Regions from separate parts of the Mus musculus genome. Here regions 2, 3 and 4 are each reported to be linked to region 1. Evidence: microRNA targets listed by miRTarBase, many of them from high-throughput screens and not tested one by one. Region 1 holds a microRNA gene; each other region holds the end of a gene's coding sequence.

Region 1 (7,101 bases):
AAGTAAATACTGGCTTTTCTCCTGAGGTTAAAGAAGAATTGAATGGATCATTCCTTAATCAAACAGAGGCAGATCCATCTGTGGACATGAAAGAACAGTCAAGGTCTTCCAGGCGAAGCAGTTCTGAGTTATCCCCAGAAGTAGTGGAAAAGGTAGGATTATTTTCAAGTCAGAAAGTATCTTCGCCTGTACTTGAGACTGTACAACAAAGAACACCTTCAAGAGAAAGAAGTAGTTCTGCATCTCCTGAACTGAAAGATGGTTTGCCTAGAACGCCATCTAGGAGAAGCCGGTCTGGGTCTTCTCCAGGACTTAGAGATGGGTCTGGGACTCCTTCTAGGCATAGCCTATCTGGGTCCTCTCCTGGGATGAAAGATACACCTCAAACCCCCTCCAGGGGACGAAGTGAATGTGACTCTTCTCCAGAACCAAAAGCATTGCCTCAGACTCCTAGAGCCCGAAGTCATTCTCCATCATCCCCAGAGCGCAACAACAAGAGTGTCACCCCTCAGAGAGAAAGAAGTGGGTCAGAATCATCAGTAGAACAGAAAAATCTGGCTAGGACCTCTCCGGGACAAAGAAGTCGATCTGGGTCTTCCCAAGAGCTTGATGGAAAGCCCAGCGCGTCCCCACAGGAAAGAAGTGAGTCAGACTCTTCTCCAGATTCCAAACCCAAGACTCGGACTCCTCTCAGACAGAGGAGTCACTCTGGATCATCTCCAGAGGTTGACAGCAAATCTCGACACTCACCCAGGCTCAGTAGGTCTGGCTCATCTCCGGAAATGAAAGATAAGCCAAGAGTGCTACAGAGGGCTCAGAGTGGTACTGATTCTTCTCCTGAACACAAGATACCTGCTCCTCGGGCCCTGCCCAGGCATAGTAGATCAGGTTCATCAAGCAAAGAGAGAGGTCCTTCCCCTGAAGGAAGCAGTAGTTCTGAGTCTTCTCCAGAACACGCCCCCAAATCCAGAACTGCTCGAAGAGGTTCCAGGTCCTCAATAGAGCCAAAGACAAAGTCTCACACACCACCTCGACGCCGGAGCTCTCGATCATCTCCTGAGCTAACCAGGAAGGCTAGAGTCTCTCGTAGAAGCCGGTCTGCCTCCTCATCACCAGAAATCCGCTCCAGAACTCCACCAAGACGCAGAAGAAGTCCTTCAGTATCTTCACCAGAGCCAACTGAAAAGTCAAGGTCTTCACGGAGGAGGCGCTCAGTTTCTTCTCCCCGTACCAAGACAACTTCGAGGAGAGGACGGTCTCCTTCACCCAAACCTCGTGGACTCCAAAGATCCCGATCCCGCTCACGGAGAGAGAAAACCAGAACAACCCGACGCAGAGATAGATCTGGATCATCTCAGTCAACATCTCGAAGAAGACAGAGGAGCCGGTCTAGATCACGAGTTACTCGGAGACGGAGGGGTGGCTCTGGTTACCATTCAAGATCACCTACCAGACAGGAGAGTTCTCGAACCTCCTCTAGACGCAGAAGAGGCCGCTCCCGGACACCCTTGACCAGTCGGAAGCGATCTCGATCAAGAACATCACCAGCTCCTTGGAAGCGCTCTAGATCTCGAGCCTCACCAGCTACTCATCGGCGGTCCAGGTCCAGAACACCACTGATAAGCCGACGTAGGTCCAGATCTCGGACCTCACCTGTGAGTAGGAGACGGTCAAGGTCAGTGAATAGGCGTAGATCTCGATCAAGAGCATCCCCAGTGAGTCGAAGGCGATCCAGGTCCAGAACACCACCAGTAACTCGTCGTCGTTCAAGATCCAGAACACCAACTCGCCGTCGTTCTCGTTCTAGGACTCCTCCAGTGACTCGCAGAAGGTCCAGATCCAGGACTCCACCAGTAACCAGGAGGCGATCTAGAAGCAGAACTTCACCTGTTACTAGAAGAAGATCAAGATCCAGGACATCCCCAGTCACCCGGAGAAGATCGAGATCTCGAACATCTCCAGTCACCCGGAGGCGGTCCCGTTCCCGAACCTCTCCAGTGACAAGACGACGCTCCAGGTCTCGAACTCCGCCAGCAATTCGAAGACGATCTAGGTCTCGGACACCACTGTTGCCACGCAAGCGCTCTCGAAGCCGCTCACCACTTGCTATCCGCCGCCGTTCTAGGTCTCGTACTCCTAGGGCAGCTCGAGGCAAGCGGTCCTTAACAAGATCTCCTCCAGCCATTCGTAGGCGGTCTGCATCTGGAAGTAGTTCTGATCGTTCACGTTCTGCCACTCCTCCAGCAACAAGGAATCATTCTGGATCTCGGACACCTCCTGTAGCACTCAGTAGCTCTAGAATGAGTTGCTTTAGCCGTCCTAGCATGTCACCAACTCCTCTTGACCGATGTAGATCACCTGGAATGCTTGAACCCCTTGGAAGCGCTAGAACGCCCATGTCTGTGCTACAGCAAACAGGTGGCTCCATGATGGATGGTCCAGGTCCTCGGATTCCTGATCACCCAAGATCATCTGTTCCAGAAAACCATGCTCAGTCTAGAATTGCACTTGCCTTGACAGCCATCAGTCTTGGTACTGCCCGGCCACCTCCATCCATGTCTGCTGCTGGCCTTGCTGCAAGAATGTCCCAGGTTCCAGCACCTGTACCTCTCATGAGCCTTAGAACAGCCCCAGCTGCTAACCTTGCCAGCAGGATTCCAGCAGCATCTGCAGCAGCTATGAACCTTGCTAGTGCCAGGACATCTGCTATTCCGGCATCTGTGAACCTTGCTGACTCAAGAACACCAGCTGCTGCTGCAGCTATGAACTTAGCCAGCCCTAGAACAGCAGTGGCTCCTTCAGCTGTGAACCTTGCAGATCCTCGAACCCCTGCAGCTTCAGCTGTGAACCTAGCAGGAGCTAGAACACCAGCTGCATTAGCAGCTTTGAGTCTCACAGGCTCTGGGACACCTCCAACTGCTGCAAATTACCCCTCCAGTTCCAGAACACCCCAGGCTCCAACCCCCGCAAACCTGGTGGTGGGTCCTCGATCTGCGCATGGCACAGCTCCTGTGAATATTGCTGGCTCTAGAACCCCTGCAGGCTTGGCTCCCACAAATCTCTCCAGTTCCAGGATGGCTCCAGCATTGTCTGGTGCAAACCTCACCAGTCCCAGGGTGCCCCTTTCTGCTTATGATCGTGTTAGTGGCAGAACCTCACCTTTAATGCTTGATCGAGCCAGGTCCAGAACACCACCATCTGCCCCAAGCCAGTCTAGAATGACCTCTGAGCGTGAGCGGGCTCCTTCCCCTGCTTCAAGAATGGTTCAGGCTTCTTCGCAATCTCTTCTCCCTCCTGCACAGGATCGGCCTCGGTCCCCTGTGCCATCTGCTTTTTCAGACCAATCTCGTTCAGTTGTCCAGACCACTCCTGTAGCAGGGTCTCAGTCCCTTTCATCCGGGACAGTAGCGAAGTCCACATCCTCTGCTAGTGACCACAATGGCATGCTTTCTGGCCCTGCCCCTGGGATATCCCATGCTGAAGGTGGGGAGCCACCTGCCTCTACTGGGGCCCAGCAGCCTTCTACATTGGCTGCTCTGCAACCAGCTAAGGAACGTCGGAGCTCTTCCTCCTCTTCATCATCATCTAGCTCCTCCTCCTCTTCATCATCTTCATCGTCATCCTCCTCTTCCTCTGGCTCCAGTTCTAGTGATTCAGAGGGTTCCAGCCTTCCAGCTCAACCTGAGGTGGCACTGAAAAGGTGAGGCAATTAAGGGATCTAGGGAGCAGGGACTTAACAATGGGTGGGTGAGTAGGGAGGGAGAAATCTTGTCAAAAGCACTTGGCTTTGAGAAAGTATGGGGGACCTTGGCCTTCAAGCTGGGAGTAGAAAGAATGTTGGGCGGGGGCTTTGTGGGGAGGAATGGGACAGATAAAAGTCTCCAAAGGTTAATTCTCCAGAGGATAATGATAAGTTTTCCATCTCTACAGAGGACAGAACTAGAGGAAATGGACTTAATTTTACAGCAGGAGGGATGGCAGTTAGACCTCAAGAGGAACTCCCTGGGCTGGAAGGATCTTCAGAGGTCATCCCATCCCTCTCCCTGCCTCCAGGCAGGACGGCCCCTCCCCAGCCAACCTGCACTCACAGGGGCCTCCCCAAGCTGCGGCTCTCCAAGGAAGGAGATCACCCAGCTTCAGCTTCCACATCTGAGTCCAGGGGCCTTAATCCTTCATCAGGGACATTCTTGAGGTTTAACCTTGATCCCTTGTGCTTCGGGCCCCAGCCTGTTGCTTGTGTTAGCAGAGGTTTGGTCAGCTCTGTGCCACTGCTCCAGAGAAGTACTACTCACTGGCCTGCCTTCGTGTTTTCCCAGGGCTTTTCTCAGGCACCCCTCCCCCACTGCCGTTCCTCCAGGCCAAGGAAGGTAGGGTTGGGGTTGGGGCATCTTGTCTCCTTGTGACACCTTTCTTCTCTCACAGGGTTCCCAGCCCCACCCCAGTCCCAAAGGAGGCTATTAGAGAGGGACGTCCTCAGGAACCAACCCCGGCCAAAAGGAAGAGGCGCTCTAGCAGCTCCAGTTCCAGCTCCTCCTCCTCCTCCTCTTCCTCTTCTTCCTCTTCCTCCTCCTCCTCATCTTCCTCCTCCTCTTCTTCCTCTTCTTCCTCCTCTTCTTCCTCCTCTTCCTCCTCCCCCTCCCCTGCTAAGCCTGGCCCTCAGGCATTACCCAAACCTGCAAGCCCCAAGAAGCCACCCCCTGGCGAGAGGAGGTGAGTGCTTTCTTGCCTGTTGTGGAAGGGGGGTTGGGGTGAGTTCTCCAGAAAGGGGACCCTGGGTGAGGTTCCTGCTGGGGTGCCTCGTGTGGACGTCTGTGACTGGTTGTACGGGAGAAGGAGTGCCGGACTCCTCCCATCCTCCCACAGTGTTGTATTCTGGTCAAGGGCTGCACTATCTAACTGAGGTGTCCCAGGCCATATCTGGGAAGTCATAGGATTCTTCCTCCCTCTCCCCTCCCCTGACAAGCAGCCTGGTCTCAGAGATCTAGCTCTAAGTCTCCCCATTGCTGCTGCAGGGCTCTGGTCTGGCCACCGTCATCTTCTCCCGACTCTGTCCACAGCCTCCTCCCTGTCTCCCTGCCTCCACGCCATTCTCTTCCACACGTAGCCAGAGGGATCTTTCTAAAACGCACATCTGGTTACTTCCCTTCACTCCACAAATCCTTCCGGAACGCCCTGTGGCCTGCAGGATAAAGTGCCACCTCTGCGGGAATGGCGTGTGAGGCTCTTCACCAGCTGCCCTTGCCCGCCCTGTGCTCCTCCTGCCCGCCCCCACACATGCCCCGTGCTCCGGCCATACCCAGCGCCTTGCAGTCTAAGGAGAGCCCCATGCCTTTGGACATGCTGTTCCTTCTGCCTGGGATTTCCTTGTCTGCCTGGTGAACTCGTTCTGCAAGACTGCATTCAAACAGCACCTCCGAGAAGACTGCCCTGCCATTTCCCTGTCCTGCCCAGGTCCCCATCCTTTCTCTGGATCCCCAGGCCCATGCATATCCATCCTGCTGGGCTGTTTCCTATGTAGGGGGCGTGTGTGCCTTCATTGTTAACCTTTACTACCAAACAAAATTCTTCCAAGGGCAGGGACTCTTTTATCTTTGCATCCCCCGCTGCACCCTGTGCCCTGTCCACTGGGGTACTCGGTGGATGGTGTGCGGGCGGATGGGTGAGTGCGGACAAAGGTGGGTCTGAGGCTGGCCCTGTGTGGTGTGAGGTTTGGTGGTCAGGACCTGGGTGGGTGGTCCTGAATGCTTGGCTGGTGGGTTTGGGAGGATGTGGAGCTATAGAGGCCTACTCTGCTTCCTAGGTCTCGAAGTCCTCGGAAGCCAATAGACTCCCTTCGGGATTCCCGATCCCTCAGTTACTCACCCGTTGAGCGTCGACAGCCCTCGCCCCAACCTTCACCAAGGGATCTACAGAGGTAGGGCCTATAGCAGGTGCTAGCAACCTGACTCAACTAGCTACCATTAATTTGTAAGCAAAATTTAAAAGTTTTTGGTATTGTTCTGTGACCTAATTTCTCCTCTTGTAGCAGTGAGCGAGTTTCCTGGAGAGGCCAGCGAGGGGACAGTCACTCTCCTGGTCACAAGAGGAAGGAGACACCTAGTCCCCGTTCTAATCGTCACCGCTCCTCCAGGTGTGTCTCCTTGGAAGTCTGGCCCTTCTGAGAGCTAGTAGTTAGGGATAGGGATATGTGTGGTGACCCAGAATGACCAGTCTTCTCTATTCCAGGTCTCCATAATCTGGATTCCACTACACCTCATACTCTGGAGACATGAGTATTCCTCATTTTTCCCAGAAGAATCATGGAAGGAGTCTTTGTATGCCTTCCCTTGAACCTTGGCAGCATCTTGAGGGGAGAGCGTCCTCTCCCACCCACCCTTTTTTTTTTTTTTTTTTTTTTTGGTTCCTGTGAAATGTTGATCTCTGTGAGTTTTTCCTGGTTCTTGTGTTTTGGGGGTTGGAGTGGGAGGGAGGGAGTCTAGGGAGGGAGGGGCACAGCTCAGGACATCTAGGCCTCAGATTGTGATGATCCAGGGAGTTAGCTCCCTAAATTCTTGGGTGACTGATGGTTTAACTTGGTAAGTTGTAATCTTTCCTGAAAGAGGAAGGAGCTGAAGTTGGTTGGCCCTGCTGCACCCCCTTACAAGGTTGTGAGGCCCTCTCCCCCCCAACTTTGTTTAAGGCATTTTGGTTTTTTAAAATCTGTACAGTAAAAGCAACTTTTTCTGTCAAATAAAAATGAGAAATGCAGTAATTGGTCTGTAGTCTTTACTTGGGGTTAAGAGTTCTGTGAACAAGAGGGAACAGAAAAGTCAATCAGGTAGACAGCCAAATTTTTTTTATTGGGGAAATGGGTCTCTAGGGGGTAGGCCTAGGCCCTCACTGCACAGCTTGTTCATTGGCACTGCCTCCAGAATCCTGTGGCTTCATCACATCTGGAAGCTCTGGAGGGCTGGAAAAGGGCTCGATGCGGAGAGCTTCGAAGGTGTCATCTGGGGAAGGGGTATAGAAGATTCTCAGCGTTTCCATTCATTGACTTGTATCAACCATCAAGGCCATAACCCTCCCCACCTTGGTTGCCTGACTTGGCAATGGTATGATGAC
Region 2 (7,117 bases), not on the chromosome of region 1:
TATGGTAGCTGAGAGTTCTACATTCAGATCTGCAGGTAGCAGGAAGAGAGAGATACTGGGCCTGGCTTGGGCCTTTGAAACCCCAAAGTTTTAAGGAAGTGACACACTTCCTCTAACAAGGCCACACCTCCTAATCCTTCTGAAATAATGCCACTCCCTGATGACTAAGCTTTCAAATATATGAATCTCTGGGGCTATGCTTATTCAAACTAGCACACACCATATCAATTATATTGTGTATTAGTTACTGAGATTTTTCAAGTGATTTGAAATGTGTTTAACTTTGGAAGTCTTTTGTTTCTGTTGTTGTTGTTTGTTGTTGTTGCAGAGACAGGGTCAGGCTAGAAAACACTGCTTGAAACGTACTATGTAGCCCAGGCAGCCTTTAACTTTCAGTGACCCTTTGCCTGTGCCTCTCAGTGCTGGGATCGTAGCCTATTTGCTTTTGTAATTACTGCTTGTGCATTTCCGAGTTCCCACATTGTAGCTGTATATGTATATGTATATGTATATGTATATGTATATGTATATGTATATGTATATGTATATGTATATGTATATATTGTTGATGTAAAGTATATATTCTGGATTGTACAAAATTGATCCCTTGTAGATGTTCTGAACTTAAAATAATTTCATAGATTTTCTTTTGAGATGACATGCTAAATGTGTTAGAGCTCCTACTGGCAAAGTAGGTCACATGATTCTCAGTGTAATCAAAGGAACTTGCTTTGAGAATACATTTATTGCTTACTAGTTATAACAGAGTGGTCTGAGCAGGACATACAGATAACTACAAACCAAATACATCACTTATATGTAACTATAGCATCTATAGCATGAACTAGTTTGCAGTTGTTTAGCACATCTACCAAAGTAGATGTGTTTCAAACATAGTGTCGGGGCAGTGTCTGTCTTGTTTGTCTCTGCATCACTAGCATAATAGCTGGTACCTTGAAAGTGTCAATAAGAATTTTTATTTTACTTTATTATTTTTATGTGCATGCATGGGCAATTTGCCTTCATGTTAGTCTGTTCACCACTCATGTGCCTGGTGCCCTTGCAGGTGAGGAGAGAGGACGTTGGACTCTTAGAACTGGAGTTTCAGGCTGTTAGGACTTGCTGCAGGAGTATTAGAAATTGAACTGTGTCTTCTGGAACAGCAGCCAGTGCTCTCAACAGCTGAACCATCTTTCCAGTCAATAAGTTATAACTGGTTGGGAGATTAATTCTTTAGAACATTTTAAAAGTTGCCTCGTGTCATTTCCCTTTCCATAGAACTACATACATAACATACAATAAAATATTAAAATTATGGTATGTTACACAAATTTCCCACAGCTCTAAAACACCTAAAGAGAGACAGAGAGATGCATAGACTTGCCCATCATGTGCTGCTAGCATTGAACTTTGGTAGAGCAGCTCAGATGCCACGTTAAGCGGCATGAACTCCTCAGCCTTTCTCTCTCTGTTCTTAGAGTTTAGTTTATGCAATTTAATGAATTATTATCTGTGTAGGCAGTGCTTTGCACCTCCTTAGTAAACCACAGTTACCAACTTCCTTCTGATCAATAATCTCTGTTTTTCAGATGTAGTAGGCTTTAAGCTTAGAAATGAGGTCATATTCATTCCTAGAGCTCAGCACCGTACCTGGCGTGATATTTAATGGAAAATTATTATTTAAAAACTATTTGGGAAATGTTATGCAGTTTTGTTTTGTTTTGTTTTTGAGATAGGATCTTACCCTGTAGCCCTGGCTAGCCAAGGTCCTATTGTGGAGCCTGTTAGCACTCTGTCTAAACTCTACCCCACAGATACCTGACAACAGCAAGGTATGCTCCACCCCACAGTTACCTGGCTGTTGCCAGGTAGGCCTGACCCATTATAAAAGGAGTTGCTTGCTCCCTCCTCCCTCTGCCTTCTTGGTCTCTTGCCTTCTTGCTCCCGCTGTCTTCTTACCCTGTCCCCTTGCCCCTTCCCCATTCCCTTCCCCCCTCTCTCCATGTGCTCATGGCCAGCCTCTACTCCTCTATTCTCTCTCTCTCTCTCTCTCTGTCTCTCTCTCTGTCTCTCTCTCTCTCTTAACTTCCCTCCCCATGTCCTGAATAAACTCTATTCTACACTATACAGTCATCATGTGATTGTTCCCTCAGGGGGAAGGGATGTCTCAGCATGGGCCCGCCGAGGCACCCGCTTCCTCCATCCCTCACCACACCTCCATAGAACATATCTCTCCAACCCCCCTTAGCTTTATATAAACACATCAGAACCCAGGATGTCCTCAGATTTATGGTGATTCTCCTGCCTCTGCCTAAATGATAGAACCATGTGTGAGGCACCAGCACACAGTGTGTAACTAAGGTATATGTAGTCACCAACCCAACAGTTACTCTTAATACAGAAATAAGGCCCTTGACATCACTGAGGTAACTTGTAACTCCTCTGAAAAACTGATTTTTCATGGTGATTAAAGAATTCGTCATGAATCTTGTCCTAGTTACTTTTCTATTGCTGCGAGAAGACACCAGGGCCAAGGTAAACTCATAAATGGAAGTGTTTGATTAGGGGGTTGCTTACAGTTTCGGAGACGAGTCTGTAATCATCACGGGGGAAGCATGGCATCAGGTAGGCAGGAAAGCAGGAGCTGGAGCAGCGAGTAAGGATTTAGAGGTCTTATCAGATGAGACTAGGCCTGGTGTGTGGGCTTTTTCAACCTTTAAGCCCGCCCCCAGTGAGACGCCTCCTCTAACGAGGCTCCGCCTCCCAATCCTTCCAATACTGACGCCAACAAGGAACCAAACATCCAAACCTAAGAACTTCAAGTCCTGGCACATGGACTGCAGAGAGGACCATCATGTATTCTCCTCCAGCTTTATAGTAATGCTCACCACTAAAACATTTCTCGTGTTCTCCTTCATCAGCACAGCTCAAGCTGACTGGAGGACAATTGCTTCTGAAGTTTCTGCCTTAAATGGTGAGATCCCTTTGCACCAGGCAGTACGAAAACTCAACAGAAGTGAAGGGGGATATGTGTTTATGATTTTAAAAACATACATCCACCTGCAAACTTTCACGTGGCAATATTTAAAGATCACATGCAGACTCTCAGTCTCTATACCTGGAGCAGCAGCTCCGTGATGTACCGGGTGTGGGGAAAGCACTCTAGGCTCAACCAGGGACATTGTGCTCACTGAGTAATTATATCAGAGGCATCTCTTTAAACAAATAATTTAATATCTGTTGCCGCATTTATCATGTCTTAAAGCGCATAACTTCCTCAGGGTTCCAATGTATAACAAGCTCTTTTGGCTTACACAGTCAAAGACCTATTCCAAACATGGAGATAAGCTACATCTCTCACAAATACACGCTTCTACTTGGAATTAATGCCCCGAAGGAAAAAAAAAACCAATACATTTGTTTTTACTTTTATTGACACACCAAAATTTGGGACAAAAGTCAAATTAACTATCGAAGGGAAAACCCTTCCTGTGTAAACATAGGGTAAATCGGGTTGGTTTTCAAGTAAGATCGTCAGCCTTGTGATTCAAGAGGATTTTAGGGTGAACACGGCGTCAGACTCATGCTTGGCATACCACAGCATGCTGCAGAAATAGGATGTCACAATGCAGGTTATGAGCTATCCCCCCAAAGTAATCAAGCTCCACAAATGTACGCCTTTTCTAAGGAAAAGATAAGTAGTTTGATAGCCGGAGCTATACTTCATTTTCCTTGTTATTCTTTGTCCTAGTCATAGAAGATATTTCTCAGTGGTCTTTATGTTCTCACAAGGATGCCTGTGAGAATATCAGCTCCGGTCTCCTGTGGGGCCAGTTTGGAAAGAGTCGGATTGTACACAACACAAATTCACATCACATTCTCCCTCTAAGACAGAGGGTATTTGGTCTCAGAAAAAGTAATTCAGAAAATCAGTAGTCACCAAAAAGCTACTGGAAAACAGATAGTTTGTCCTGAAACCTTTACCATTTAAATTTCACGACTAGATTTTAAGTATAGAATTTCAGACATCTTTAAACCACTGTGTAATGAGTTTTATTTATTTCACCTCAGCTCATTGGTAAAAATCTATTAAATAAGGTCTAATTACAAATCTAGTTTTGATGTTGGCATCCTTTGCAAAGCTTAAAAATGTAAGATATCATGTCTTACGTGGTTTAATTTTAAGTTGTGAAAAAGCATAATTTCAAATGTGAACTTTGAATTTTCCTCTTGTGCCTTTCAGAGCTAATGTAAGACATTTGCTTCAAATGTTTCCCCTTTATCAAATAACCTGGGTAGCTGCTAACATGGTTGTTAAAGATTAGTGAATTGTTTTTTTAAAAAAATCAAGTGTCAATTTCTGGTTCTATACTTTTACTAAACAAAATATTTAATTCTTCCCCCACATTTTTAGTAAGAAGTAGTAGTAACAGACAAATTAAAAAGTACTGACTGGGACCTCATATTGTATTGCTTCATGTAAGGTGGGTACATTTATTGGTAACTCAAATTACATACAATTTGGGGAATTTAAAATGTGGAAATGTGGTAATTTCTTACAACAATCACTGTGAGTGACTTCCAGGTAGTCTGTCTTCCAAACAGTCTATTGCAAGTTAGCGTCGGCTAAAGTGCTGCCTAAATACATAAACAAAATCTTATGCCCCTAGAACTATTCATCTCAGGTTTTTACATACCTCACCATAGCCTGAGAGAGGATGAGATTAAAGCATCAGTTATGGCTCTGTACTTCAGATGAGCTCTATTTCATATGACGTACTCATATAGGGTTTTCTCTCGTCATGTTCAGTAGTATGAAGCTTCAATTCACTGCCCTTCTGAGTGCCGATACTGCAGACACTTCAGCATTGGGTGGATATACATAGGCTGTGGTGTGATGTCGTTCTTGATTGATTTTAAGTCAAAGACTGATGACCATTGCATTTGCGACTTGTTTTTATTTCTTGCAAACAGTAATAAGTGATAATAACATCAACATTGCCAATTTCAATATCCTTACTATCTTTCAGATTTATTGACTTTTTAATGTTAAGAATGTTTTGTCTGCATGTATGTATGAGGACTTCATGCATGCAGGGCTCCTGAAGTCCAGAAGAGGGTGTCAGATTCCCTGGAACTGGAATTAGACACAGTTCTGAGCCACCATGTGATGCTGGCAATAGAACTCGGGACCCCTGCAAGAGAAGCAACTGCCATTCCTCCATGCCTTAAAAATATTTATTCATCTACTTAAATTTTTTCCTTATGCCCTGCTTTGCCTACAATTCCATTTCTAGACATTTACCTGGCCCACATAATTTTATTTTTCCCGAGACAGGGTTTCTCTGTGTAGCCCTGGCTGTCCTGGAACTCACTTTGTAGACCAGACTGGTCTCGAACTCAGAAATCCGCCTGCCTCTGCCTCCTGAGTGCTGGGATTAAAGGTGTGCGCCACCACTGCTTGGCTCACATAATTTTTAAATTGACATTATATCCCAGTTAAATTTAAGGGTCAGTAGTGATGAAAGCACTGAATCAGGGGGTCACAAGACCTCTATTGATCTCTACAGCTCTTTCCAAATAAATCATGTGACTAAAGTAAATCTGAGTGTCTTTTTTCTCAGAAGAAAAAGGAACAAAAAACTTGTATGCCTTAAAAGATTGCTTCAAAGGCAGAGTATAAGAACATAACTGTGATTTCCAGGATCAAGGAAACTTAGGACAGCAATCAAGTTTCTAAAATGCTTTTTTGTGGGCACAAAACAAGCAATATTTCTGGGTAGAAATTGTACCAGATAGCACTGCAGAGTCAAGCAACAGCCAGAACAAGCATTGTTAGGATCCTCCTCTTCCGTATGGGTAATTCTCTTTTTAAAAAACAAAAGGGCTTGTTTTTAAGCAAATACACTTTTTATTCGTGTTAATTTTTGGTATCTGTATCAAGATGCTGAAAGTATGAAAAATTTAAATACAGTACTTTATACTTGTCCAGCCATGCTTCTTTTCAACCACTGTCATTAAAATGCACTTTTTTTTCAGACTGAAATTATGTATCAAAACGCCTGTTATTTTGTACACAGTTTGACTTGGCCCCTAGCAATGCTGATTATGGATTCCAGGTGTTGCACCTATTGTCCTTGTTAACTGGGCTGAAAGAACCCTCAAAGTCCTAATTCTGCACAGCTGACATCAGTCCTCCTGGTGCCTTTGCTGCTTTGTTTTGGGGCATTCTCCTACATGAAGAACCTCAGGCCACTTTCTCCTAGTCCTAGAAAGTCCTGCTTTACAGGTGAGTTAGCTTTTCACTGGGCACTAACTGAAGTCATGACTAATCTCAACTAATTTGTTTGCTTTTTTTGTTTGTTTGTTTGAAAAGTCTTCATATATTTCCTCGATGCTAAAATCATACAAAATACTTTTTTTTTGCCGGCTTGCTTTCTCTGCACTTAGCTTAACATACTGCATGCAGTAAAGAGAGAGTCTCTGAGGCTTCACCTAGAAGGTAACTGAAAACATGTCAAGATAAATTAGGATGTCTTTTCTGCAGTTTGGATTGTTTTCAGCACCGAGTCTTCCCCCAGAATTTTGCATAGTTCGTTGAGTCTCTGTTGCATTTTGGGAATTCCAGCGAGCTGCGACTCCAACTTTTGCTTTTCCTCACTCAACGTTAAACGGATAGCAGTGTCCAACTGTTCAAAGCGCCAGCCTCCTTCGCCATCGAATTGTAATAGATGAGTGTGGTATTTCCTGTGTGATTAAAACAAAGTGTAATCAGTCATAATCCTAAAAGCCGTTTCCATTATAGAGCTTTCTAGCTGATGTTCAGAGACAAATTTTAGTGGATGTGGCTATTTTACATTTTATTTCTAATGTTATCTCAGATAAACAGTGGAATTGCTAAAGTCTAAAGTCTTTCATCTCTAAGAAATTCTTCTTGATGTTCCTGAATTTTTCTTTCATATTTTGAGTACATATAATTTACAAAGGAAGATTATTCTTGTATTAATTTACCCTCATAATATCTTCTGAAGAAATATGTGTTCTGAATAAATAACGAAGCATAGTTAGAAGAGAAGTAAGGAAAGGGAATTGGGGAAAGAGTAAACTTTTAAAGATC
Region 3 (7,117 bases), not on the chromosome of region 1:
GAGGAAGGCCAGGCTGGGGCTGCTGAGGCCACAGCTGCCCCATCCGTGGAGGATAGAGCAGGTGAGTACAGTCTGGGTGAGGTCCACCAGCCAGACCCAGCACTATGTCTGGGAGCCCCCCAACAAGCAGGCTAGGCTGGCTGCAAAGGGCCTCTGTCATCCAGAGCTCCCTCCACACTTGTCCCTGAAGCTGCATCCTGGGAAGTATGTAATTACCCCACCCTGAAGAACACGAAGTGTCTATGCATCCCAGCCTTTGAGTGTGTGGGAGGCCAAAGCTTTCTCCTGTCAAAGTCCTGGGAGGCAGGGGTGGGAGGCAGGGCAGGGGCAAGATGGTTAGAGGCAAGCATCGGAGATTTATTAGGGCCATATTCTGTGGGGAAGACTGGGCCAGTCCCAGATGCCAGCACCACCAATGGCCCCCTCTCCAGCTCTCACTTTCTGCCCTTACAGCTCAGTCCTCCGTGACAGCTTCACCACAGACAGAGGAGTTCTTTGACCTCATTGCCAGCTCCCAGAGCCGCCGGCTGGACGACCAGAGGGCTAGCGTAGGCAGCCTGCCTGGGCTACGCATCACCCTCAACAATGTGGGGCACCTCCGAGGCGACGGGGACGCCCAGGAGCCGGGGGATGAGTTTTTCAACATGCTTATCAAATACCAGGTGGGTCTGCCCTCAGAAGGCAATGGGTGGAGCTTCATGCAGGCCCGCCTAGTGGTGGTCCTCTGCCAGCTGCAGAAGACACCTAGCTGGACCACAGCAAGCCCTGTCTTTGCTGTCTCTGGCCTCATCTGAGGGATACCTGAGGAAGACGCATAGTAACAAGTACAGCCAGAGTGAGGGACCATCCTCAGATGCGCAGGCTTGAAGCCCTCCTTCTGCCAAGGGGCCAAGGACCTCCTGAAATAAGTCTCAGCATACTCTGGGGCCGGAGTTCAGCTTGGGGCTGCCAGGTCCCCAAATCCAGGATGTCTGTTACAGGCTTCCACATCTGGGCAGAGAAAACTGAGTGTCAAGTGGCACCTTGGAGTTGTGAGGGAGGGAGAGAGGGAGGGAAGGAGGGACAGAGGGAGGGACAGAGGGAGGGAGATCTGGGATGTTAGTGCTGGCTGTAGGAATGGGAGCAGAAACGGTCCTGAAGAAGACCACACAGCATGGGCTGACAGGTGAGATGGAGAGCCTAGGCCTGGGAACACAGAACCAGGGCAGAGCTACCCATGGATGGGTTCCACTGTATGGGATTGGGTGAGGCTGGGGTGCTGCGAGCTGAGCCACCTACCAAGGCCTGGCAGCAAAGGGGGTGGGTGGTACGTTTATCCTGCTGGCTAGCTGCCCTCCAGCAGGAGCAGGTACATGGTGGGGAGTAAGCAGGGTCAGCATTCTGCCTGTGTATCAGGCTAAGTTTCCAGATCAATGTTCATTCTCACAGAGGAGACAGAACCACAGAATCGTCCAGACAGCCTCCTCTAAGCCAGCCCCTCCTGAGAAGCCTTGCCCACTCAAATACCTGGGCCATCAGCTGCACCGGCTCCACTCCCATCTGCTCCAGGCCCTGAAGAGAAGCCAACACTTTTCAGGCCCCTCAACCTCCACATCAGAACAGGCAGAGCCTGTGGTGTCAGCTGTTGATCCAAAGGCAACCCTTGGTGGGGTTGGGGTTGTAAAGTAGTGATGCTAATTTCTAAGCAACAAGCTCTGAGCTGCAGCCCCCAGGCCCTCCAGGGCAGTCCAGGGCAGTGCCAGGGTTCAGGGTAGTTCTAGGGGTCTAGTATCTGGATCAACAAGTCCCAGAGTTGGGCCCAGTGGCTGCTGACTTGTTCTATGACCAGAATATACGACCTAGCCTTTTTTATTTGGTTGGCCAGCCACAGCTCCGAGTAAGTCATCAGGCGATGCTGCCAAGGCAAAGCTTTTAGCATTACCCCAGAGCCAGGGGCAGGAGGTGGCTGAAATAGGTCCCACTTGGATTACATCATTCTTCCCAAGCCAGTGTTTGCTGTCTTCAGATTTCCAATAAGCCCATCACCTTCCCAGTGCCAGGATAGGTCCATAGGCCCTCTAAAGACCCAAGAAATACAAGACCACCAACCTCCATTGTGTGTCTGCCCAGTCCTCCAGGATTGATGACCAGCGCTGCCCACCCCCTGATGTGCTGCCCCGTGGCCCTACCATGCCTGATGAGGATTTCTTCAGCCTTATCCAGAGGGTGCAGGCTAAGCGGATGGATGAGCAGCGTGTGGACCTTGCTGGGAGTCCAGAGCAAGAGGCCAGTGGGCTGCCTGATCCCCAGCAGCAGTGTCCACCGGGTGCCAGCTAAGGCCTCGCCCCTACAGCCAGCCATACCCTACTCTGGACTCTGTAGGCTCACGGTTGTCCACAGTGGCCATGATCCCCCAATAAGCCAAATCTTCCCAAGGCCATGATGGACAGCCAGCTCAGCCCCAGCCCCTTCCCACTGAGCCAGATGGTGGGTGCACAAGGCCCCCCCATCCCAGGTGGTGGGTGCAGGCTAGAGCTGCTATATGGGGGAGGGCATGCTTCTGTCCCCATGGATCTCCACAGCTTCCTGCAGGCCTGCCCTGCCCTGCCCTAGGCCGGGCCTTCAGCATGTTGGCCCCGAGCCCCGGTGCTGTCCAGAGTCTTTTCCCTCAAGCCCTGCCCTGCCAAATGTGAAACTCTGCCAACTCTCCCAAGGCCCCCAGAGGGGCTTCAAGGACTTCTTCTGGTGGGGGCTACAGTGCTAAGGCATCTTCTGTCCCCCAGCTGGTCCTGGGATGGCTATGAAGGAGGTACACTCTGATCTGCCTCACGACCCCAGGGCAGGCACTATCCTGGCCTGGCTGTGCCCAACCCTGCTGAGGGAGATTGGCAGCTACAAAGTCCAGACACCCTGACCTGGTAGTCCCCAGCCTTGCACTTGGCCTTTGAGGAAAGATGGAGCTTGCCCCTGGCAGAGGGGAGAGGCAGGTCTCCAAGCATAGGGTCTTGTACTAGGAGTGCTGAGCTCTGGCTGGTAGTGGACGTTCATGAGGGATCCTCTCAACTAGATCCTTCAGTCCTCTTAGTGAGCATCTACCTTCTATTACTAGGGAGATGATATCTTGGCTTTCTCCCCAAGGAGGGGTCCATATCTTAATTGGACACAGGGCACTGTAGTTGGGGTGGAGACTCAGCCAGAACTGCCGGGGCATCCATGAGACAGACCCTTCGGGACCGTGGTCCTAGTTCTTGCCTACAAGTCCTATAGGTAGCCCTACTGGAGGGCTCTGTACAACTGTCTAACCCAGGGCCTCTTACCCAGAGGGCCAGGGCAAGGGAAACTGAGGACCCAACTTCTGAGAGGGAGAGGCAACATCACTCTGAGAGCAGAAACAGATACTAGAGCACAGGGTCTCGGGCGGGACATGGTGGCCGCCCCGCATACTTGAATGTACATGCGTATTTATTGCTTACATGTGTTTGCCATGTTGTTCATGGGTCCTTTCTGACCCGAGAGGTACATTTGTTTTGTTTTACCCAAAAATAAAAGTCTGCCAAGTGAGTGTGGCTTCTGTTGGAATTTGTGTCAGCCTTCCCAGGACATGGTATTGGCTTACCCAGTGCAGTGTACAAGGCCCCTGAGATCATGCAGCATGTCTCTGCTGCATGCGACAGTGAGAGGCGGGGCCAGAGCCGCTACTGCTGCTTTCTCTGCTGTTCTCCATTATGCTGACTTTCCAGAGACAGGAAACAGAAGCCAGGGATGTCACAGTACATTGGTAAACACTCAGGACTAGCCCTTCCAAGCAGCCTCCCCGCCCCCGACTGGATTGGACCCAGCCCCAGAGCTTCCTATGTCTTAGCAGTTCCCATTACAAGCGCTGGATTATGCCAATCTAAGCCACAGAGGAACTTGTCTTCAATGTTCATGTAGTGGGCAGCACCCCATGTAACTCAGATCCTGATTGGGCCCTTTGGGGAGTGTCCTGATGGGCCAAGGGTAGCAGAACATAGCTAAGACCAGTAAAATAGCCTAGAGAATTCTCTATCGTCTAGAGCACTGTGGTTGCTCTAGAGGCAGCCACGCTTCTGGGCAGGCTGAAATTGCTCAGGTGCCGGGAGGCCAGCTGCCAGAGATGGCTGCCATGGGAAGGGGATGTATTGAGAGAGCCAAGCCACCCCACAGGAGTCACGCTGGTCTGGCCAAGAGGTGCTGTGATGTTGGGGTGGTACTTTACTTAGTCTCCACTGAAAGGGAGGAAGGAATGGAGAACTAAACTAGTCAGAACAATTCCAGGCTGTCAGGAACCTGGCCACATGATTGGGAACTGTGGCCCGTGGTGAGTCTGCAGAACACGGTGAGGTATGGACTCTGCAAGAATGGACTATGTGGAAAGTGAAGCTTCAAGTGAAATCCTGATGCACAGGAGACCCTCCCTGGGAAGGAGGCTCTGGAGCAGCAACAGGCAGAAGGCACACACACACAGGAGGTAAGTCCAAATCATGGGCTTCCCATCTAGAGGAGATACGCTAGATCCAGCTCTGTACTGTCAGGTCTAGCCAGCCCCAGGCCTCCGACAACTCTGGCCCAGACACCTGAGGACGAGGCAGCCCAGCCAGGCTCCACTGGTTCCTGACTTGAAGGCCCACAAGCAAGGCAATCGGCTCCTCTGACCTCGGTGTCCTCCACAGGGAGCAGGCTGGAGTCGGAGGCTGGCTCTTCCTCCAGGATGTGACAGTTTGTACAAATGGCACAGGAGGCTAGGGTGGGGATAATAGCAGGGTGTTTGCTGAGGGAAGGACAGGGGGTAATCGAGGGAAGGCACAGACTGCAAGTGCACCCGGCCTCCCAGGGCCCAGAGTGAACTGCTAATCACTAGCTGGGGTCCCAGGAGCCAGGGAAGCATTGTGTCCGTGTCAACTGCCTTCTCCACCCCCTGTCCCAGGATCCCCCCTGCCAGATGTTGAAGGTCACAGGGCCCAGAAACTCCCACAAAAAGCCTGTTTGTGCATCTGCTTGACTTCCTAAACACAAGACTATCCCAAAGGCATGTCAAACCAAGTTAGGAGATGAAGCACACACAAGGCAAGCATGATACGGCCCTCATCACTTCCATGCATCTCCTCTTGGACCTCAAGACAGGAGGATTGAGAGGTGCAGGCAGCTCATGGGTGGTGTGGTGTGTGTGTGTGTGTGTGTGTGTGTGTGTGTGTGTGGTGTGCCTCTGCCTGGATCACTCCCCTAAGCCTCTGAGCAGCGCTCTGCTCCTCGGCGGCCACCCAGAGCAGCCAGTTCTGCTACAGAAACCAAACCTCAGGGCTGGGCTGGACACTAGCTCAACAACAGAAGCCACCAGGGCTGGGGGTGGGGTGGGGGTGGAGGCAGGTCATATAGAAGGAAGAAGTAAAGAGCTCTGAGGAACAAAAAACCACCTGAGGCCACGAGCCTAACTCAAGACCAGATCCAGCCCTACTTAAGAAGGAGACCGACTGCACTGGGACAAAGCCACCCCCGAAGCCACCACTGTGGCTATCATGGGTGGGCATGAGGCTGGGCTCCTACAGCCACAGAGTTGTTCTGACTTCACAAGAGAAAAACAGGAGCCCAGGCCCGGTGCCTGGAGGTGATGGCTTTTTACTGACAAGGAACAGCAGCAGGCTTGTGAGGCTCCAAGTGAAGGGAGCGACTTTTGGGAAGACTGGAGTCTGCAGCTGTAGGAGTATGCAGATCAGCTCTGTCCCATCTTGCCAGGGTTGGGGGGATCCTCATCCCCTTCTGGGGTGTCAGGGGGTACAGCAGCCTCCAGAATCAGTTCCAGGGCACCGTCACCAGACACTCGGCGTACCTCCTCTCCTCTGGCTGCTAGGATCTCTTCAATATTCCTGCAAGACAGTAAGAGCAGCATCAGCCTTACTCTGGGCTCCCTCAAGGGCATCCCATGGTCATCTTGGGCCTGGAACACTTGTCCCAGCATCCAAGTGACACCAGTACCTTGCAGGCACCTAATGGCACCTTCACCAAATGTATCTGTTAACAAGTCCTCAGAAGCCATCTCTCTCGTACAGTGTACCACCAAGGGCCGTGGCCCTGCCTCTCACCAGGTAACACCCATCCCTGCATTTCAGTCTTGTCCCTACATATCAGAGCTGAGATTTCTCTGCAGTCCAGGTCTAAGAGGCGAACCCTAGAGACCCAAGGCCTGCACACTTATCACAGGCTATCTCCTCTGTGGCTCTGCCCTTACTCCTGCCACTGATCCCTCCTCATAGAACATTAAGAAGGCATCAGGCACAGCCTCCAAACTGACTCCTGGCCCTCCCCACTGCTCTCCCAAAAGTGGGAACACCACTGAAGGCTGCCCCAGTCCATAATCTGACACATACCCTTCCATCTGCCCTGAGTTGGCAGAGGACAAAAAGCCTCCACTAGAGATTGATAAGGCCCCTGGCGAGATCAGAGGTCAGGCAGTGACAGAGGTAGAGCCATAGAACTAGTTTGCCATATTTGGGGCCATTCATGGTTCATCTGAAGTTCAAATTCAACTGCTTCCAGGTCCACGTGGAAGCTGGGCTGTCCAGGTAGAGAGATCCAGGCAATGGATCCAGGCTCACACAGGGCCACAATCTTACTGTCTCCTACCCCTCCCAGCTGGCCTCACCTCTTCCCCTTCAGGTCAGAGAACCAGCTTAGGTTGTCTGCGATGATGTGGTGGTTCTGGCAACCAGGGCAAGTCACGATGACCACGCCCTGGTGATAGGCCAACTTTGAGATGCGCTTGGATGACCGAGTCCCACAGACCTAGCTGGGTTAGAGAGGTGGTCAGGCAAGGCATACACAGGAAAGTCTCTCCCAAGGTCTAACTCCATCCCGAGGGACAGCCTCAACCCTTTCTCTGATGATCCCACCTAGGCGACGGCGTCATTTCTAGACGCCTGTCTCCTGATAACCCAACCTAGAAGGCCCTGTGCCTCATTCCCACCCAGCCATTTGTAAAGACTCCGCCTCCTCCCTGGTCCGAAGGATACTTCCACGTTTCTGCCAGGACCCTACACCAACAGGAAACCAGCCAGCACCAGGTGTTGCCGACAGCGCCCACCTTGCAGGTGTAGACGAGTTGATAGTGGTCCGCTTCCACGCG
Region 4 (7,117 bases), not on the chromosome of region 1:
TTGGTTCCCTTATTCTGACCCCAGTCAGCTGTACCTGCACCCCCTTCAGTTTCTACCTCTTGACAGGGCCAGAGTCGGGGGCTCCGGACACCCGTATATCTAAACCTCTCCTGCCTGCTTACTACCACACTCTGTTTGTGCCCCGTAGATGCCCTCATGAAGAAGGCCTTCAGCTGCTCCTCTTTCAATTCCAACACCTTCCTTACCAGGCTGCTCATCCACATGGGTCTGCTCAAGGTGAGGCTTTGCCCCGCTCTGTGGGTCACTGAGGGAGGAAGCAGGGCTCCCAGGTGACCTTGGAGCTTCCCCCCCTTATTTGCAGAGTGAAGACAAGATCAAGGCCATACCCAGCCTGCATGGCCCCCTGATGGTGTTGAACCACGTGGTGAGGCAGGACTATTTCCCCAAGGCCCTTGCACCCCTGCTCTTGGCATTTGTGACAAAGTAAGTATCGAGGCCTTGTGTTCCCATCTGCCTGAGCTAAGGCTCGTGGGTGGGGTCAGTCCCAAGAGTCCCAGGCCAGCCCCCTGCAGAGGCCGGAGGACACCCCACCCCCACCAGAAAGTGGACCTTTCTGACAACAGAGCTTTCGGGATCCTAAGGTGTCCTTGCAACTCACTGAGCTGTCTTCTTCACAGGCCCAATGGCGCGCTGGAAACCTGCTCCTTTGCCCGCCACAATCTGCTGCAGACGCTATACAACATCTAGATTTAAAGGCAGCTGCTTCTTGTCCCTCGCCCTGCCCCAGTGACTGAGGGTCTTGGATGGACTGAGCTCGGCCAGCATCTCCATTGGATATTTTGACCAGAGGAAGGGAGAGGGTCTTGTCTCCTGTGTCATATTGGTCCTTTGATACTGTGTTGGTTTGGTGTGTGTGTGTGGGTATGTACTTCCTGTCTGGATTGCAGATCTTCATCTCCCTGCTGGACTAACCCAAGTCCACTGTGGGGAATTGATGCCTAGGGGAAGGGTAGAAAGCTGCTTTGTTATTAAACTTAGGCCAACTTAGCCATAGGCCCCGTTGGCTGTCCTGTCTGCCCTGCCTTCCTGTCCCACCAAAGCCTGGGGAATTCTGTGTGCTGTGTCCACCGTGCCTAAATAACAGAGGCTATCAGAGATGGGCTATCATTAGAAAGTAAAACTCAGCCGGGCGTGGTGGCACATGCCTTTAATCCCAGCACTCAGGAGACAGAGGCAGGCAGAATTCTGAGTTTGAGGCCAGCCTGGTCTACAAAGTGAGTTCCAGGACAGCCAGGTCTATACAGAGGAACCCTGTCTCAAAAAAACAAAAACAAAAAAAAAAAAACCTCTGCCCTTAACCATGTGACTTGGAGGAGCAGCCAGGGGAGTGGGAGCTGTCTGGGGTAACCTGGCTCTAGGACCAGGTGGAAAAAGCACCTTGGCTGGCCCAGCCCTGTTCTTCTCCTGGGGAGGGAAGGGCAGGTCCCCTAATGCCTGAACCACATGTTGGGCCTACTCTCTGAGGGTTTTCTAAGACAGGAGTGTGTAATAGGGATGGAGCCGGGTAAGAGATGCTCTGTGACTTCCCGAAGTGGCTGCTTGGCCACCTCCTACTTCCCGTTGTGTTGTGTGTCTGGGCTGTGCCTGGGAGCTTCACAAATAAACGTCATCTGTGTAGTTGCAGAGGCCCGGAAGCTTCTTTCATCAAAAGCGGGGACGACCCAGCTTAGGACAGAGCGAGCAAACAGGAGGACCTGAGCTCACATCTCATGAGCCATGTGCAGAGTGGAAGGACCATGTGTGTGCACACCAAGTGTGTCATAGGGATGGAGACCCTAGGGCGGGCGGGGTCCCGCCTCAGTCAGAGGGGCAGCCAATGTCTCCACCTGGGCCCTCAGTGCTGCCTCTGCTCTGGATGGTGTGGGCAAGCATCTCCCTGTGAGCTGCAGTGCTAAGCTGGTTAAGCCAAGTTCTATGAACGTGCACTTGAACTCTAGCCTGGAGACTTCACAGTACTGTCACAATGTGTGGACAATGGGGCAGTGGGGAGGGAAACCAAGTACTGAAGACTCTAAAACGTCTTGAGGTTCAGATGGGAAGCCAGCAGGATGGCATGGGACAGAGAAGAAGGGGTGAGAGGCCTGCTTACCTTTCCAGTAGGTGACATGAGGCTGATTCTCCTCCCATGTAATTTTATATTTATAATGGTTGAGCACACTTGCTGCTCTGAAATATTCAGTTAAGTTCCCAACACTCACATGGTAGTTTACTTATTAACTATCCATAACTCCAGTTCCAGAGAGTTGAAGCCCCTGAAGCTAGAGCTATAGGCTATTGTGAGTAGCCATGTGGGTCCTGGGAACTGAACAGCAAGGGCAATAAATTTTGTCCTGTGCATTGTTATCTTGGCTACATGTGTGCTTATGTGAGGGTATCAGATCTTGGGATTAGAGTTATGAGCCACCATGTAGATACTGGGGTTTGAACCCAGGTCCTCTGGAAAAGCTATCAGTGCTCTTAACCACTAATCCATCTCTACAGTCACAAAGCTGCTAGTTTTGTTTCTCAGGATAGAGTTTCTCTGTATAGCCTCGGCTGTACTGAAACTGCAGACCATGCTGCCCTCTAATTCAGACATCCACCTGCCCCTGCCTTTCAAGTGCTGGGATTAAAGGCGTGTGCCACCACCACATGAAGTATGAAAAAGATATTAGCAGTGTACACACATAAAATTGAGGGGCTGGGGAGATGCTCAGCAGGTGAGGTCATTTATCTCTAAGCGCAACAACCAGAATCCAGTCCCTGAGGCCCATGTAGTGGGAGGGGTGCTCCTGCTCTTTATGTTCTAATCTCCACAGATAGACTGCGGCTGTGCACACTCCTATACACATACATACCCTGTAAGCATTTCACATTACAAGATGAACCGGGCGGTGGTGGTGATGCAGAGGCAGGCAGTTTTGGCCAGCCTGGTCTAAAGATCAAGTCCCAGGACAGTCTAGGTTTACACAGGAAAACCCTGTCTGGGGAAAAGAAGCAAGACAAAAGTCCAAAAGGGAACAAAGATGTCAGTCAGTGCTTGCCTAACATGCATGAAGCCTGGGCGTAAACACACTGCACACAAGTGGAGGCAGAAGGATCCGAGTTTACAAAGTTCTCTCAGTTGCATATTGAGTTCTGGGCTACATGAGACCCTATCTCAAAAACTCAAAAAATAAAAGCTGGAAGGATCATAGAGTATGACCAAGGTAAGGCTTGGAGATGCAGGATAGTTCACAGCATTCTAATAACCACAAAGCTGGAGCAGAAACAGCTGAGGTTTGAAGTCAGGGCTGCAGTGTAGGCTCAGTGGTTCAAAGCATTTGCTGTTCCCACAAAGGATCCGGTGTGTTTCTGGGCACCCGCATGGCATTTCACAATTCTAGTCCTAGGGGATCCGAAGCCCTTTGACCTCTGCAGCGACCAGGCACACACATGTTGCACGGGTACCCATGCATGCGAAACATTCATACACTTAAAAGTACATAAAGCTAAAGAAGAAAAGCTGGTACCGAGCTACATGGTGATATTTTGTCTCAAAGGCACATGTGGAAGGCAGGAAGCTTGCCTAGGCTCACGGCCAGCCTAGCCTGGTTTGCATGGTTCAACTCCAGGCCAGGCAGGGCGGCCTTTAAGACTAAAAAACAAAACAAGGACTAAAAGATGGTTAAGTTTATATACTGCTCTTGCAGAGGGCCCTGAGTTCAGTTCCCAGCACCCACACATGGTAGCTCCAGAAGATCAAAGGATCTAATATCTGGCCTCTGAGGTAGTCAGCATTCATGGACTATAGCACACAGGTACACCTACTTTCAAATAAAAAGGTAACAGATTGCATATAGGAATATGGGGGGCGGGGGGCGTTAAGAGCACTGACTGCTCTTCTGAAGATCCTGAGTTCAAATCCCAGCAACCACATGGTGGCTTACAACCATCTATAATAATATCTGATGCCCTCTAATGCTGTGTCTGAGAAGACAGCTACAGTGTATTCATCCATAAAAATACTTAAAAAAAAAAAAAAAGATGGGAGGGCTAGAGAGATGGCTCAGTGATTAAGAGCACTGACTGCTCTTCTAGAGGTTCTGAGTTTAATTCCCAGCAAACACATGGTGGCTCACAACCATCTGTAATGGAATCTAGTGCCCTCTTCTGGTGTGTCTGAAGACAGCAATGGTATACTCATACATAAAATAAATCTTAAAAAAAAAAAAAACAGGGCTGGAGAGATGGCTCAGGGGTTAAGAGCACTGGCTGCTTTTCCAAAGGTCCTGAGTTCAATTCCCAGCAACCACGTGGTGGCTCACAACCATCTATAATGAGGTCTGGTGCCCTCTTCTGGTGCGTAGGCATACATGCAGGCAGAACATTGTATACATAATAAATAAATCTTTAAAAAACATGTAAAATTTAAAAAAACATATGGGCTGGAGAGATGGCTTAGCATTTAAGAGCACTGACTCTTAACTCTTCCAAAGGTACTGAGTTCAAATCCCAGCAACCACACGATGGCTCACAACCATCCATAACGAGATCTGACTCACTCTTCTCGAGTGTCTGAAGACAGCTACAGTGTACTTACATATAATGAATAAATAAATCTAAATATATATACATATATATATATATGTATGTATGAACCTAGCTATGCTAGCTCACACCTTTAATCCCAGCACTCAGGATACAGAAGCAGGTGGATCTGAGAGTTCAAGGCCAGCCTGGTCTACAGAGAGAGTTCCAGGACACTCAGGGCAGTTAGGGCTTCACAAAGAAACCAGGTCTTGAAAACTATTTTTTAAAAAAATGCACTTTTGGAGAGATGGCTAAATGGTTAATAGCCACACTTGTTACCCTTACAGAGAAGCCGAGTTCAGTTCCCAGCGCCCCTGTGGCCATTCCGCAGAGGAACAATCTGCAAGAGGCAAGAAGGCAGTTTGCTTCAACACAACCAAGTAGCTATCGATTCAAACTTTGGGGGAGTTTATTTTAGGCACACTTAATGACAACAATCTGTAAAGTACACGGACACGTTCAGAAGATCGGTTCTAGAGGCTGAGAAAAACAAGCTCACACCGGTCTGGGGGAGGATCCCACGTGATCTTGGCCACACAGATAAGTGTAAAGGTCACCCGGCTATTAACCAGCCTTCTGGGTGGGTAAAAGGTTAAGCATCCTTTCCTTTGAAGGAACAACCCAAGAGTTGTTCTAATGCTGATCTGTGAAATCTCTGTGCCTCCTACAGCTCAAAACCTTACAACAAAACAAAAACATGATTTGGGGCTAGGGAGAGGGCTCAGAAGTTAAGCATAGATACTGCTCTTGCAGAGGGCATAGGTTCAGAACCCACCTAGGAGCTCACAATAGCCTTTAAGTCAAATTTCAGAGGGTTCAACTCACTCTTCTGCCCTCCATGGCTGCATGAATGCACTTGATCTGCATATACTCAAGCGAGGAAAGGTATGAAATTACCTTACTGTTGTAAAAGCCAGAGAAGGCCCACAGCTCACACCCTAAAGGAGAAAACGGAACTGCTTGGGTGTGGTGATCCACATGGTTGGGGAGTGAGGCAGAAAGATTGCTGTGAGTTTGAGAACAGCCTAGACTGCAGTGTTCAGAGTAAGATTTCATCTGGGGGGTGGGGGGGCAGGAGGCAAAACTTTACAAGACAAAGATGTCCACTTACAAGTGGTGCATACCTTTAATCCCCACACTTTGGGAGGCAGATATCCAGTTCAAGGCCAGCCTGGTCTACAAAGTGAATCCAGGACAGCCAGGGCTACACAAAGAAGAAACCCTTTCTCAAACAGAAAATAAAAGCGCATACTGCTCTAACAGAGGACCTGAGTTCCATTACTAGCACCCATGTCAGGTAACTCACAACTTCCTGTAACTCTAGCTCCAGAGAATCCAGTGCCCTCTTCTGAACTCCCTGGGTACCTACATTCATGCACATACCCACACACATAATTTTGAAATAGGGTTTCTCTGTGTAGCCCTGTAGTACTCTGTAGACCAGGCTTGGCCTTGAACTCAGAGACCCTCCTGTCTCTGCCTCCTGAGTACTGTGGTAAAGGTGTGTGCTATCTATCACTGCCTGGATTTGAGCTCTGGAATTTAAAGCCAGCTTATGAAATAGAGATGCCATCTGAAAAGAGAGGAGGAGGAGGAAGGAGGAGAAGAGGAGGAGGAGGAGGAAAAAAAGGAAGAGGAGGAAGAAGAGGAAGAAGAGGAAGAAGGAGAAGAGGAGGAGGAGGAAGCGGAAGAGAGAAGAATGGAATGGCACTCATTGTTTGGACCAGAGAGCACACGTACTTTTCAAGAGAAATGAATTTTAAGCTATTCTAATGAATTGCCGTAGGATTGCCCTTCATCAACAGCTGTACTACCGGCTTATACTCCATAGAAATGAAAGCAAAGATACAAATGAACACTGTGCACTAGTTCTTTAGATCTATTCTCAGGCTAGAATCAAGAGGTAGAAGCAACCCAGTGTCGCATCCGCCAGAGGACTAAGCTGAACAAAGCAAAGCCGCTCATACAAGGGAGGTCCTCTGCCACAGAGCCGACGGGACTTCCGTTGGATATAAAACGGAGGTGGAGGAGATGAGTAGTTAAGCTCACTTACATTTAGTATGTTTGTGGTATATTCATCCATACATTGGATATTTTGTAGCAATAGGAAAGGCTTAGTTTTTTACATCCCTGCCCCCTGGCCTTGAGATAGGCATACACCTTTTATCCCAGTCGTTGTGAGTCAAAGGATGAGGATCTTGTGTTCTGAGTACTCCTTGGCTACAGTGTATTGAAGGCTAGCCTGGGCTATGTGAGACATTCTTAAAATACACCCAGGCATGCTGGGCAGTGGTGGCGCACGCCCTTAATCCCAGCACTTGGGAGGCAGAGACAGGCAGATTTCTGAGTTCAAGACCAGCCTGGTCTACAGAGTGAGTTCCAGGACAGCCAAGGCTATACAGAGAAACCCTGTCTCAAAAACCTAAATAAATAAATAAACCAACCAACCAACTACGTATCTCAGTGGTGATGGCACATACCTTTTGTCCCAGCACTTCAAAGCTGGAGCCAGAGACAAGAGCCATCTCAGATGCATAGCAACTTT

The links. Region 1 holds the annotated microRNA mmu-miR-5125 (UCUGCCUGGGAUUUCCUUGU, at 5,349-5,368, shown strand). A microRNA usually pairs through its seed, bases 2 to 8, with sites in the 3' UTR of a target mRNA and lowers its output. Matches are read on the target gene's strand: a 7mer-m8 pairs with bases 2 to 8, a 7mer-A1 pairs with bases 2 to 7 and ends in A, and an 8mer does both.
Region 2: the mRNA of Abcd2 is a reported target of mmu-miR-5125. Seed matches in the 3' UTR shown: 7mer-A1 at 5,418-5,424.
Region 3: miRTarBase lists Dnlz as a target of mmu-miR-5125. Seed matches in the 3' UTR shown: 8mer at 5,203-5,210.
Region 4: miRTarBase lists Rangap1 as a target of mmu-miR-5125. Seed matches in the 3' UTR shown: 8mer at 1,196-1,203.

Annotation. Positions count from the first base shown.
Region 1 is chr17:23,817,991-23,825,091 of GRCm38, forward strand. It overlaps Mir5125 (microRNA 5125), which reads left to right and starts at 5,301; the gene lies at 5,301-5,379. Srrm2 (serine/arginine repetitive matrix 2) reads left to right here. Exons shown (of 15, transcript NM_001368687.1): 11 at 1-3,700; 12 at 4,423-4,710; 13 at 5,801-5,914; 14 at 6,026-6,130; 15 at 6,226-6,751. The coding sequence ends at 6,235. It overlaps Elob (elongin B), which reads right to left. Exons shown (of 4, transcript NM_026305.2): 4 at 6,750-6,989. The coding sequence ends at 6,877.
Region 2 is chr15:91,142,459-91,149,575 of GRCm38, forward strand. It overlaps Abcd2 (ATP-binding cassette, sub-family D (ALD), member 2), which reads right to left. Exons shown (of 10, transcript NM_011994.3): 10 at 3,413-6,747. The coding sequence ends at 6,528. Among named protein-coding and RNA genes, the nearest start is that of Abcd2, 46 kb to the right of the region's middle.
Region 3 is chr2:26,344,698-26,351,814 of GRCm38, forward strand. Dnlz (DNL-type zinc finger) reads right to left here. Exons shown (of 3, transcript NM_026828.3): 1 at 7,076-7,117; 2 at 6,638-6,777; 3 at 3,421-5,861. The coding sequence ends at 5,708. Gpsm1 (G-protein signalling modulator 1 (AGS3-like, C. elegans)) reads left to right here. Exons shown (of 14, transcript NM_153410.5): 12 at 1-61; 13 at 454-662; 14 at 2,110-3,540. The coding sequence ends at 2,316. Among named protein-coding and RNA genes, the nearest start is that of Dnlz, 3.9 kb to the right of the region's middle.
Region 4 is chr15:81,698,780-81,705,896 of GRCm38, reverse strand. It overlaps Rangap1 (RAN GTPase activating protein 1), which reads left to right. Exons shown (of 16, transcript NM_001146174.1): 14 at 149-237; 15 at 323-444; 16 at 639-1,649. The coding sequence ends at 708. Among named protein-coding and RNA genes, the nearest start is that of Chadl, 5.1 kb to the right of the region's middle.